Linked DNA regions of Macaca mulatta. The protein of the gene in region 2 interacts with the protein of the main gene of each other region in a pairwise test. Links are inferred from orthologs where the notes say so. Each region holds a gene or a part of one and is shown on either strand. Other genes may lie near its edges.

Region 1 (6,279 bases), on a different chromosome or scaffold from region 2:
TTATTAAAAGCATTGGCGTTCACCATGTAAGGAGGCTCCATATGTGCTATTAGTCACATTTAATTCATATTACTAAAATTTTATCACCAAGAAAGGCCTATTTCACTTCAGTTTTGTTGTTGGGAGCATTATATTCCTCCTGGCAGTCAGAAGCTGTGGTTATTCACATTCATGAGCTATGCATTAAGGTTCATCACTGAGAAACTATCCTCACCAAGAGGAGCCCAAGGGGACATCACCATTCTAGAGAAGGGGGTGAGGAGAGAGAATGGGTCAAGGGTGCTTTCCAGAGACTATAACTAGAAGGGCAACTATCTCAATGCTACCACTGATGCAAAAATCATGGATTCTTATTTTCCCCTCAGAATGTAAGAAGGGAAGTGAAATAATTACTTCTTCATGAGGCACTTGAAAATTTCTAGATGAAGGGTAACCAGTTAAGTGTAGTTCTGTTTTATTGGGCTCATATGTAACATGGAGCTTTTAACTGAGTTGTCATTATTGTGATGTAATGTGAAAGTGTAATGACAATTCATCACTAGGTCTGACCCCTTTTCAACACCATTACTACTTGCATTTCCTTTTTTTTTTTTTTTTTGACAGAACCTTGCTCTGTCACCCAGGTTGGAGTGCAGTGATGCAACCACAGCTCACTGTAGCCTTGAATGTCTGGGCTCAAGCGATCCTCCCGTCTCAGCCTCCCAAATAGCTAGGACTACAGGTGTGTGACACTACGCCAGGCTAATCTTTTTTTTTTTTTTTTAAAGAGGCAGGGTTTTTGCTATGTTTCCTAGGCTGGTTTTGAACTCCTTTGCTCAAGCAATCCTCTTGCCTCAGCCTCCCAAAGTGGTGGGATTACAGGCACAAGCCAATGTGCCACTACTTGCATCTCTTATTTGGCATTGCCTTTCATAGAGGAAGGTGCTGCTAATGCTGCTTGACTGAATGAAAAGTTTGGATTGTGCTTCCTGCCCAAAAGATAGTGGGGAGCAAATCTTTATTCATCCAGTCCCAAGGGAAGGAATTTGTCAGCCAGTCTGTAACCGTGAAATAGACTGCGGTTAATTAATCCAGAGCGGGAAACAAGGACACAAACATGGCCTCATTAGCAAAGGGAACAAGAGAAAATGAAATGATCATCATCATATTCTTTAAAATGTCATACAAATAAGGCTGAGAGCTAATAAGTAGCTCTCAACCTTATTAATATTTATTAATATTTAATAAGTGGGTACTTATTAGTATTGATTAATCAATCAGATATTTGGGGGTAGGTATCTACTATATGTTGGGTACTACATAGAAAAGTTACTTATTCTTAACAATTTGGTCACGTAAATATGGGTCTATTTAAATGTGTGAGCTGAATAGAACTAACAGTTACTATGGCAAGTGTTAATTTACATCAGCAAACAGAGCTCTTTTGATCTTTTTTTCACCATTGGGTGACAAATTTCCTGGACATGCAAAAATTCTGGCCGCTTCAAGTGTTCTTGGCACACACTAGGTAAGTCGAACATTATCACCCTGCCAGTGGCTGGAGCCGAGGCACTCGAGGTACTCACCCTGAATGGCTGGTCTGGAATGAATGGGAAGTAAGGGATTGCTGACTGTTCTTCACCCCTCTCCCCAGATATACAAGAATTTCTGAGTAGCTGCCGATCTGTGAACACAGCTTTGAGTTCAATTGCCACATCGGCAGGAGGGTCTTCAGAGTCCCCACAGGTCAAGCTGATTGCAAAGCTGAAAAGAAAATCATCTCATTGATTCAGGGTTGGATATAAAAACATTTCAAAATGACCCAGGTGCTTATATTTCCTGTTCCTCCTCTGGGTTTGCCCGTTTTTAAGAGGCCACTACTCTTCAAGAGAGGTTAGATTATGGAGAAGTAAGTCAAACCAGTTTATTTTGTTACCTAAAGCAAGCTCTGGTGAAAACTTTGGTGGAGCTGAAAATGACTAAAATTAGCGATTTCAAATACCCCAAAGCGACCACACATCTATGTCTTAATCCACTTCGGAATTCTCAAAAACAGCCACAGAAATTGACCACGGGAAATAATGTTAAGTTGGGTTCTTATTCATCTTGATAGTTCTTGCTTCTGGCACCATGTTTCAAAACCATAAAAAAAAAAAAAAAAAAAAAATCCTTTGGCCTCCCTAAGGGTCAAAGAGAAAATGTAGGCCTATATTTATAATCTCTGATATAAATAGCTGTCTGGAGAAATGATGGCTGGGATTCATACACATTCTTTTCATGGGAACATGGTACTTTCTTGGCACTGGCAACTAGCAACATTGTGCACAAGGAGAGGAAGAGGAGGAGTGCTAAACCACAACAGGAGTGGGCAGGGCTCAGCCACAGCCTGATAGTTCTGTAAAGACTCTGCCTTACCTCTCTGGGTTGAGGTCTACGATGCCCATCACTAACACCTTCTTGCCTGGTCTCATGCCACCTTTAATGTGCCCACAAAATGGAACTATCTGCAAAGGGTGGGAGAAGAAAAATGAGTTTCACAGCCTGTTAGGGAAGAGCCAAGACCTCAGATCCTGAAGGCCTGACCCATTGGAAAATGCAATAAACAAACGAATAAAATTTTAAAAAGCAACGAGAAAGGAGGAGGGTACAGGCAGAGACACAGAACACAGAGCAAAGCCATTTACCAGTCGTGGGAAGTACACGTCCGCTTGAACTGGAGAGCCCAAAGAGTTGTTTAAATGGCCATCATCTAGTTTCTAAAAATAGAAGCACACAGATTGGCTTTCCATGGGCTCTTTTTTGGGGGGCTGGAGGAAGAACCCACACAGATGTGGTGGAATCCAGCAGTCTTCCACACGCACACAGTGTCTGCCGATGATGCCTCTTCACTGTTTCTTAGATAATCTCATAACCCCCGAAAAAAACCCATCCTTTCCACCCGGTGGTTAAGCTTCTGAAGATCCGCAGACCCTTCAGATCCAGATCAAAATCAAGGTCGAGGTCCACCGAGGAGCCAGAGCCCCACGCCGGAGGAGGGGAGGCCCCTCTTCAACCGCAAACGCTTCTGGAAGCGCGGTGGGCCAGGCCTGTCCTCCGGGACGTGGCTGAAGTGGAGCGGCCGTGCTCAACTTCTCTCGGGAGCCCCGGGCGCCGACCCATTTCCAAGGGGGAATCCCCGGGACGTCGGGGGCGGTGGTGGGGCGCGCGCCCCGGACACACTCACCCACGCGCACACCTGGCTGGCGGTTGCACGGCACAGATCGGGCTGTCGGGCGCCCCCACCCCGCCATCCTCCCCAAACTCCCTCCCCAGCCCAGAGCCCCGCAGCCCGGGAGCCTCTCCAGCCCCCAACACCGGCCGCGCGCAGCCGGCGGCTGCTAACAGGTACCCGGCGCCTTCCCACGCGGGGGGCGCCGGCCAGGCCTGCGGCTTCTCAGCACCCCAGCACTGCTGGAGCAGGCGGCAGCGGAGTGCGGGGCGGCGGGGAGGGGCGCCTCGCGCGCGCCCTGCCACACTCACCACCACGGCATCGCTGTCGGCCACCGATCCCGCCATCTTCTTGCCCGGCGCGGCGGGGTACGTGGGACGCAGCGCGCGGGCGGGGATCCCGGGGCTGTCCTGCGCGGGGCGGGGGCGGGGGCGCGGGTCCGAGCTGGCGCGGGCGCGCGCACACACGAGGGGGCGCGCGCGCGCACGCCCGGGGCCCGGCGCCGACCTGGCAGGCAGGGGCTGGGAGGAGGGGAGGGGAGGGAGGCAGCGCGGGCCGCGAGGGCCAAGGTGCTCGCCGCGGCCCGGAACGGCCCCGGACCTGGACCGACGCTGCTGCTTGCTGCCGCTGCCGCTGCCGCTGCCGCTGCCCGACCAAGAAAGGTGGCAAGGGCCGTGCCGCGTCGGCCCTGGGCAGCATTTAAAGGCCTCCGGGGCCCGGCTTGGGAACCGGGAACAGGGCGGGGACCCGGCGGGGCTGCCGCGGCTTGCTCAGCGGGCCCTGCCCCTCGGCCATTGGACGGTGGCGGAGGCCGTCGCGGGAGGGACGGGCCTGTCCCGGTCCGGGAGGGCGGGGACCCTGTCGGCGCACACCGGCCAGAGGGTGGGCAGGGCCGGGGCTGGAGAAGTAAGGGCCCGAGCAGGTCAGGTGACAGGTGCTCGTGCCACCGGCGGCGCCACTCCCTCCAGCCTCCTTCCTCCTCCTGCCACGTCCTGGGGGCTGGTGGGGCGGTGGGAGGCGAGGTCGAGGGAAGACTGGGTGCTGGGGGTGGTATTCCAGAGTGGGAGACTCGGCAGGATTTCTTTCAGAGAATTCCAACAAAATCGGGGGAAGGATTCATTCTGCTCTCTAGGGCAGAAAGAGAATGGAAGGTCTGAAGGCTTGCAGAAATAAATGTGTGACCTGAAAGAACGAAGCAGAGAGGACTCAAGGTAGGGACCTTTCTATCCCAGGAGGCTAGAAACAGAAAGGTCTCTCTTCCCTGTGGAAGGACAGGCAGGTCTGGGGTTCCCTGGACTCTCTCGGACAGGAGTCTAAGCCTTACCAAATCAAACTGGGCACAGTCACTGTCCTCAGGGAGCCTCCATTGAGCCCTGTTTTTAACAAGTCACTTGCCCAGTCTAGGGTAGTAAGCTTCTCACTGAAAATCTCCTCATACCCTTCATGGAGTACTTCCCAGGGGATACACACCTCTTTTATTCAAGCCAGAAATTCCTTTATGGCATTTCCACACTAGGATGATTATGTAACTTCTCAGATAAAGCTGTATCAACATATCCTCTATTAGGTGACATCCTTGGCTGAAACATTCCGTTGCATGAATCACCGGGGCGTTCTACACTAATAAGCAGGGAGCATGTGTGTACTGCAGTCCCAGAGGGCCCCTCAGAGGCTCCTTTTTTTTTTAAATTGAGACGGAGTCTCCCTCTGTCGCCCAGGCTGGGGTGCAGTGGCGCGATCTCAGCTCACCTTCGCCATCTCAGCTTACCTTCGCCGCCGGGCTTCTTTCTAGTCACTGCAATTGGCTGTGTGGCCTAGAACATCACTGCGGCTTTTGTGTCTTAGTTTTCCCTTTATGGACCAGAGCTAATCATGGTAATCTCAGTTGAGCAGGGAGAATTACCTACACACGCCTGTAAGCCTCAGTCATATCCTCTGGAAGTGGTTCTCGAACTAGAGGCTGAAGCGCAGCACGCTTGTGGCTGCAGCACACTTTGTTTACCAGTCTTAGCTCAAAATCACACTTTATTATATTTTAAAATATTAGGCACTTATAGGAAATTATTGACATTTGAAAGCACACTTTAGTATGTATCAATTTCTGAGAGTCTGGTATAGAGAAGCAGCATTAAAGTGCAGCAGTTCTTTGTCATTAACTGAGTGACACAATAAGGGTGATACAATATGTGATGGAGTTAAAGAGTCGGTGTCCTGGGTTCAAATTCTGGCTCTACTATTCTCTAGTTATGTGATCTTGGAAAAATTACTAAACTTCTTTGTGCCTTAGTTTCTTCATCTGTTAATACTCAGAGATGATGATGATGATAATAATAATGCCTATCTCAGGTTATTGGGAGGATTAAGTAAATGCTTTCCTTAAAACAGTATTGGGCACATAGTGAGCACTTATTATACAAAAATACCGAGTGCTTGCCATATACCAGGCACTGGGGATCCGGCAGGTGACTTTTTTTTGCTGAGCTTACATTCTAGTGGGCAAAGGAAGTCAGTAAACAAAATATGTTGGGTGATAAAAGCGTTAGGAAAAAATAATAAGGTGAGGTGTGGTGGCTCATGCCTATAATCCCAGCAATATGGGAGGCTGAGGCAAGAGGATCACTTGAGGCCAAGAGTTTGAGACCAGCCTGGGCAACACAGAGAGACTCTGTCTTTACAAAAATAAAAAAAATAGCTGGGTGTGGTGTTGTGCGCCTGTAGTCCCAACTACTTGGGAGGCTGAGGTGGGAGGATCGCTTGAAGCCAGAAGGTCAAGGCTTCAGTGAGCCGTGATTTCACCACTGTACTGCAGCCTGGGTGACAGAGTGAGAACCTGTCTCAATAATAATAAAAATAACTTAAAAGCCAGTAGAGAGAGAGACAGGAGATGGGGTGATGCTGTTTATACAGGATGGTCAGGGAAGCCACCTGTGGTAAAGTGACATTTGAGAAGACCCCTGAAGGAGAGGGGTGAGTCATGTGGACATCTGGAGGAAGAGTTTGCTGGCAGAGGGAACTGCAAGGGAAAAGTCTCCAAGTACTGGGGCTGGGGGCAGTGACTGAGGAGATATGTAGCTAGAAATGGATAGCCCTTC
Region 2 (5,708 bases):
TGGCTGTGGCTCTCAGGCAGGAGGAACGGAGTGTGCAGCTGTTGGAGTTCCTCTGGGGCCGAGAGTCCCTGAGGGCAGGGCCCACCTGACTCCGCCTAGGATCTCCATTGTGTGGCGCAGCTTATGGCATTTTATGGGTACTCACAAATGTTGTATTGAGGGAGGAGTCATTGTAGGGTCTCCGGGGGCCCTTTCTTGGGGAAATCCAAGAATGCAGGTGAGTGAGCTTACACTTGGGGCTCCTTGCTGAGCTCCAGCCACCTTCTAGCAGGACTTTCCTTCCTTGCCCACAGACACAGCTGCACAGGATCCCAGGAACAGTTGGAACCAGTAGTCTTCCAATTGTTCCTTGGAGTTCCACCTGGAAATACCTATTAGGGGTTGAGACCTAAGTGTCTGAAGTCCGGCGACCTGCTGGCTGCCCTGTCTGCACTAGGACTGGCAGTCCCGGGCCTGGTGCCCCATCTGGCTGTGATGGTGCTGAGCGGAGCCCCATGCCAACCCCAGCTCCTGTTCTGCATCACAGAAGAGTCTCTTGGTTGTTGTGAGGCAGCCCTTGCAGCTCACAAGGGCTAGAGTCCCTCCGAGGTGCGGGTCAGCCTCTCTCAGAAGGCAGCCACCTCTGTAACACCTCTCCTGGGCTTTGGGCTGGAGTACCCCAGATGAGGACAGCACAAGCTCATACTCCTCCCTGGGCTCAGGGGGAGTGCTTGGAGCTTCCCGAGGAAGGCAGGGCGAGAGGGTCCCAGAGTGCTGGGCTCCATCAGGACTCACCGCCTTCACCTCCTGGGACTCTTGTACCTGGCAGTGAACTTGCAGGGCCTGCGGGTCATTAGAGTCAGGAGGTCTGAGCGTGCTTCTTGGTTATGTCCCATCCCAACCAGTGAGAGCCACGCAGCCTCCCCAAGGCCAGTCGGGGGGGTGGCTCTGGAGGTTTGTGTGAGATGGTGTGCATGTGTGGCAGATTTGAGCCCAGTGTAAACTGCTTCTGTCCGCAGCCTCCTGCTCACGCCACCTGTCTCTGCCCCATCGGCTGCTCGCTGGGGGAGTGCCAGCTCATTTCAGTGCCGGCCAGAGTGAAGTTAGACAGGATTTGCTGGTGCTGTGAAAGCTCAGCTTCTCCCCAAGGTCAATGCTGAATTGTAGATTTCCCGTGCTCCCTCTCCCTGCAGAGGCAACTGCTGAGCAGACGGTGTGATGAATGTGTGTGTGATCTGTGCCAAGTGCCCGTCCTGGGAGTCCTGACTTTGCACAGTGCTCACCGTCATGGCGCCTCAGCGGGGGCGCCGGCACTGGAGCTGGGTCCCAGGTTCCATCCTGGTTCTGCCGCTGACTTGGCTGATGCGTCCTGCTCACCTCTTTTTTGCGCCTCGGCCTGTTCTGAGAGAGGCGTGGGGGTGAGGGCTCCCCGCTGACCCTCCCGTGGGTGGCACATGGCATCTGACTCTTGCTCTCTTGACAGCGCGAGGTTGATCGCAACCAGGAGCTCCTGACGCGCATCCGGCAGCTTCAGGAGCGGGAGGCTGGGGCGGAGGAGAAGATGCAGGAGCAGCTGGAGCGCAACAGGCAGTGTCAGCAGAACCTGGACGCTGCCAGCAAGAGGCTTCGTGAGAAAGAGGACAGCCTGGCCCAGGCCGGCGAGGTGAGCGGGGCCTCCGCTCCGCGGGGACTGCCCTCCTGGCACTGTTTTCCTGAGGAGAGGGAATGCATGCTCTTGTTCACCACTGCAGCGCCGCGCCTGTGTTATTAATTGTGCTTCCCACACGGACAGCTGCGTTTTTTGCATAGTTGTAATCAGTAGAAGTATTAATTTTCCATTCTATAGTTCTCAATTAAAAAGTTGAGCACTTGGGCTGGGCGTGGTGGCTCATGTTTGTAATCCCAGCACTTGGGAGGCCAAGGTGGGTGGATCACCTGAGGTCGGGAGTTGGAGACCAGCCTGGCCAACATGGTGAAACTCCATCTCTACTAAAAATACAAAAATTAGCTGGGTGTGGTGGCGGGCGCCTGTAGTCCCAGCCACTCGGGAGGCTGAGGCAGGAGAATCGCTTGCACCGGGGAGGTGGAGGTTGCAGTGAGCTAAGGTCACGCCATTCCACTCCAGCCTGGGCAACACAGTGAGACTCTGTCTGAAAAAAAAAAAAAAAAAAAGTTAAGCAGTTTTTTTGCATTTGTAATTATGAATTTTGAAGGCTGATGAATCCGTTTTTTGTCATTTATGGACTTTTAGTGTGTTTGTGTTCACTTGTGTATCTATGCAGCCTTCGCTTCTGTTGACTTTGGACAGACCCCTAGGCCTGGGCTATAAGGTCCCCAGCGATGGCGGTCTCTGTAGCGGTTGTTCTCAGAGCCCCGGCTGAGGGCTCCAGTTTCCCTGCAGCCTTCCCTGTCGTGGATGGTGGTCTTTTCTGGAAATAGTTGTTCTTTCGTCAGGAGGCTTAAGTAGGCACGAATGGATTTGCATTTCTTTGACTATCCGCAAGGTCTACAGGCATCTGATGGTGTCGGGAGAATTGCCTCTGAACCGGAGCCTGTGTGAACCACAGTCCTGGTGAAGGTTGCTTGCATTTTAGAAACAGCCTGGATGTGGGCGCTGGTGGAAATTGGAATCTTCTGACCTCTCCTGTCCTTTTTCTGTGAAGATCAAGATTGCTGGTGCCAAGAGGAGACATGCAAATCTGCTGGCATAGGGGTGGGGGTGGGGTGGGCGTGCAGCAAGCGTCCTGGAGGGGTCCAGAAACTGGCCCTGCGTCCTTTCTGTGGGTGGTGCTGGGGAAGCGTGTTGAGGTTGTTCCCCCATCTGCTTCTGGAGGGCACGTTGGCAGGAAAGGAGGTGTGATTGGCCTCCGAGAAGCTGCTCTTGCCTTGCCCGTGCTCTGGGTTCCAGTTCCTGTGTGCTGGGCTGTGCTGGAGGTGGGTCAGACCCTGTCCCCGCTGCCTGTGGGCACCTGCGGTTCCATGGGGGAGGGTGAGTCGTGCCCAGCACTCCACGAGGGGCAGAGGAGTGGGAGACTGCAGGAGCCGCAGGGTGGTGCCCAGTGGGGTGGGGCTCCGTGAGGGGAAATCGCGCTGCTGCAGGCGCTGCTGCTTTGGCCTGTCACGTCTAAGCTAGGGTGGCAGCTCCTCAGGGCAAACCCTCCTGCTCACTAGGCCTTGGCTGCCTTCTCCTGTCACAGGGCCCTGATTGTCAACCTCCTTACTCTGGAATTGTCTTATGTGCCTCTTCCTTGCCAACTGTCCGGCGTCCCCTACAACACAGGTGCCCCTGCGGGCAGGTGGGCTCGGCCCTGCATCCAGCCTGGTCCCGGCATCCGGTGTGTATTAGTTGAGTTCAGAAGACCTCTGGGAGGATGTGTTTATTGTTAGTATGTTTTTAATACCTTCTTTTTTGACTCCCAGGTTAATGCTTCACCATTGGGTGAAGTAAACTGTACCCGTTGTGGGCATTCTGGGAGCACACCGCCCCCATGCGCGCCTTCCCAGAGCGTCGTGGGGTGGACGGCAGTGATAGGGTTCAGCGGGCTGAGCTGGCCACGGGTTCTCAGGAACAGGGAAATGAGTGCTGTGGCCTCCTTGTTTGCGGAGGGTGCCACCCAGCCAGGCCCACCCAGGTTGTTTGCTGTGTGAGTTTGCCATTGTCCTGCCCTGGGGGCATGGTCCCCAGAGCTGACATCACGCCCATGTATTTCCCTGTGTTAACTTACAGTGATGCTTCTCAGGGTCTGTCCGGCTTCTCACATTGGCTCGACCCACGTGCTCTTTCTCTGAGGACACCTAGGGTTTTCTGAGCTTTTCCAGAGGGTTAGGGTCCTCAGAAGGTTGCCTGGTGAGGGTGGTCAGGATGAAGCGTGGCGGTTCTGTCACGCGCGGGTTCCGTGCTGTCAGGCAGACCTGGTGTCCTGGAGGCTGCCAGAGAGGCTGTTGGCTTTGCCTCCCCAGGGGTGCTCCTGCCTGTGCTATGCGCTCCCCTTCCAAGCGCATGGCCTCCCCAACAGCTACCGCCTAGCCCCCTGCACAGCCTCCGTCTTTGTCCTGTTGGTTGGCCAGTGCCTTGCTGTTGTTCGAGGGCGATGTCATTAGCAAACAGCCGGCATAGTAGCATTGGGGTGGCTGGGGAGGGACGACAGGAGCCACTATTGGAGGGAAGACCAAAATGATGGTGTGGTGGGTATGTGGATGCCTGGTGGGACTTTGGGAGCATGCAGCACTGGCACAGAGACTGCCAGGTGCCAGGCCTGAGAGTCCAGGCCCATCTTGGCTGGTGAGGACTTTTGCTTCTGAAGCCGCCTTACCAAGCCTCCTTTCCAGGGGCCCTGGCTGGGGCCTGGGTCTCCTCAGTCAGCTCCTGCATGGCTCGTTGCAGGCTCTGGGCTGTGCTGCTCTGGAGCGCCAGGAGGAGGGTGGGCCTTGCGTGTGAGTGCCTGCCTGGACCCGCATCCTCCAGAAGGAGGTGACTCTGCCCCCTGGCCCTCTGCTCCTCTGCTCCCCTTGTCCCCCTCGCCCGCTTGCCGTCTGTCCCCCTACCCTCTGTCCCTCTGCCTGATGCCCCTCTGCCCCCTATTCCTCTGCCCCTCTGCCTCCTGCTTGGTTGTAGCATGTGGGTGGTGCCTGTCCGCTCTTCTCACCTCCATGTGCTCCTTCCATGCATGGGCTCTACTCACTGAGTGGCTCTCTGGCCCCCTCTGCTTTTAGACCATCAGCGCACTCAAGGGGAGGATCTCGGAACTGCAGTGGAGCGTGATGGACCAGGAGATGCGGGTGAAGCGCCTGGAGTCGGAGAAGCAGGAGCTGCAGGAGCAGCTGGACTTGCAGCACAAGTGGGCGGGGCCAGGGTGTGGGGTCGGGGGTCGGGCCACGTGTGGGGGCGTGCACGCCACCTCTCTCTTGGTGGCTGGGTGGGTTGTGGATGCACTCCCGGGTGCTGTCCTAATTCACAGACAGTCAAGAGGGGCAGACGCTGAGGCCTCTGGAGCCAGGACCATGAGCCCAGAAAGTGTCCTGATGTTCCTGGAGCAAAATGGGGGCAGCAACTTCCTCCTCCTCCTTCTTAGAGAGGGCTCCTGCAGAGCTAGATTTTACTTTATTTTTTGTGACAAGGTCTCACTCTGTCGTCCAGCCTGGAGTGCAGTGGCACCCAGAGTAACTGGGACTGCAGGCATGTGCAGTACACCTGGCTGATTTTTTTTTTTTGAGATTGAGTCTCGCTCTGTCACCCACGCTGGAGTACAATGGCACCATCTTGGCTCACTGCAGCCTCCGCCTCCTGGGTTCAGTGATTCTCCTGCCTCAGCCACCGAGTAGCTGGGATTAATTTTGCACCTGGCTAATTTTAAAAAACGTTTTGTAGAGATGGCCATCTCGCTTTGTCACCCAGACTGGTCTTGATCTCCTGGCCTCAAATGATCCTCCTGCCTCAGCCTCCTGGAGTGCTGGGATCCCAGGCTAAGCCACCGTGCCCTGCTGAGGGCTAGGTTCAGAGGGCAGCGCCATGTGCCTTGGCGGTAGAGGGGGCGCTGCTGGGAAGGGGTGTCCAGGCACAGGGCTGGGCTCAGCCGAGGTATAGACGGGAGAGCCTTGTCTGGAGGTGTGGTCAGAAGACTGGGCATCTCCTTTAGACTTGGAACCTTCCCTCAGCAAATGCTGTTTTAGTAGAGTTCTAGTTTCGTAGTGGAGAGGAGAGGTCATTCCTGGGTGGGGCCCTGCCGCAG

What was found.
Region 1: the proteins of MAD1L1 (region 2) and LGALSL interact in binary tests that used the Homo sapiens proteins (3 or more experiments, as listed by UniProt). The two-hybrid records come from large-scale screens. The link is inferred for Macaca mulatta from reciprocal best matches to the Homo sapiens genes MAD1L1 and LGALSL.

The regions. Positions count from the first base shown.
Region 1 is NC_133418.1:60,272,898-60,279,176, forward strand, and holds the start of LGALSL (galectin-related protein), read right to left. Parts: upstream 3,560-6,279; 5' UTR 3,535-3,559; coding exon 3,499-3,534; exon of another isoform or gene 3,190-3,498; intron 2,736-3,189; coding exon 2,664-2,735; intron 2,484-2,663; coding exon 2,395-2,483; intron 1,744-2,394; coding exon 1,566-1,743; intron 1-1,565. UniProt on the Homo sapiens protein: Does not bind lactose, and may not bind carbohydrates.
Region 2 is NC_133408.1:36,186,993-36,192,700, reverse strand, and holds part of MAD1L1 (mitotic spindle assembly checkpoint protein MAD1), read left to right. Parts: intron 1-1,462; coding exon 1,463-1,642; intron 1,643-4,692; coding exon 4,693-4,817; intron 4,818-5,708. UniProt on the Homo sapiens protein: Component of the spindle-assembly checkpoint that prevents the onset of anaphase until all chromosomes are properly aligned at the metaphase plate.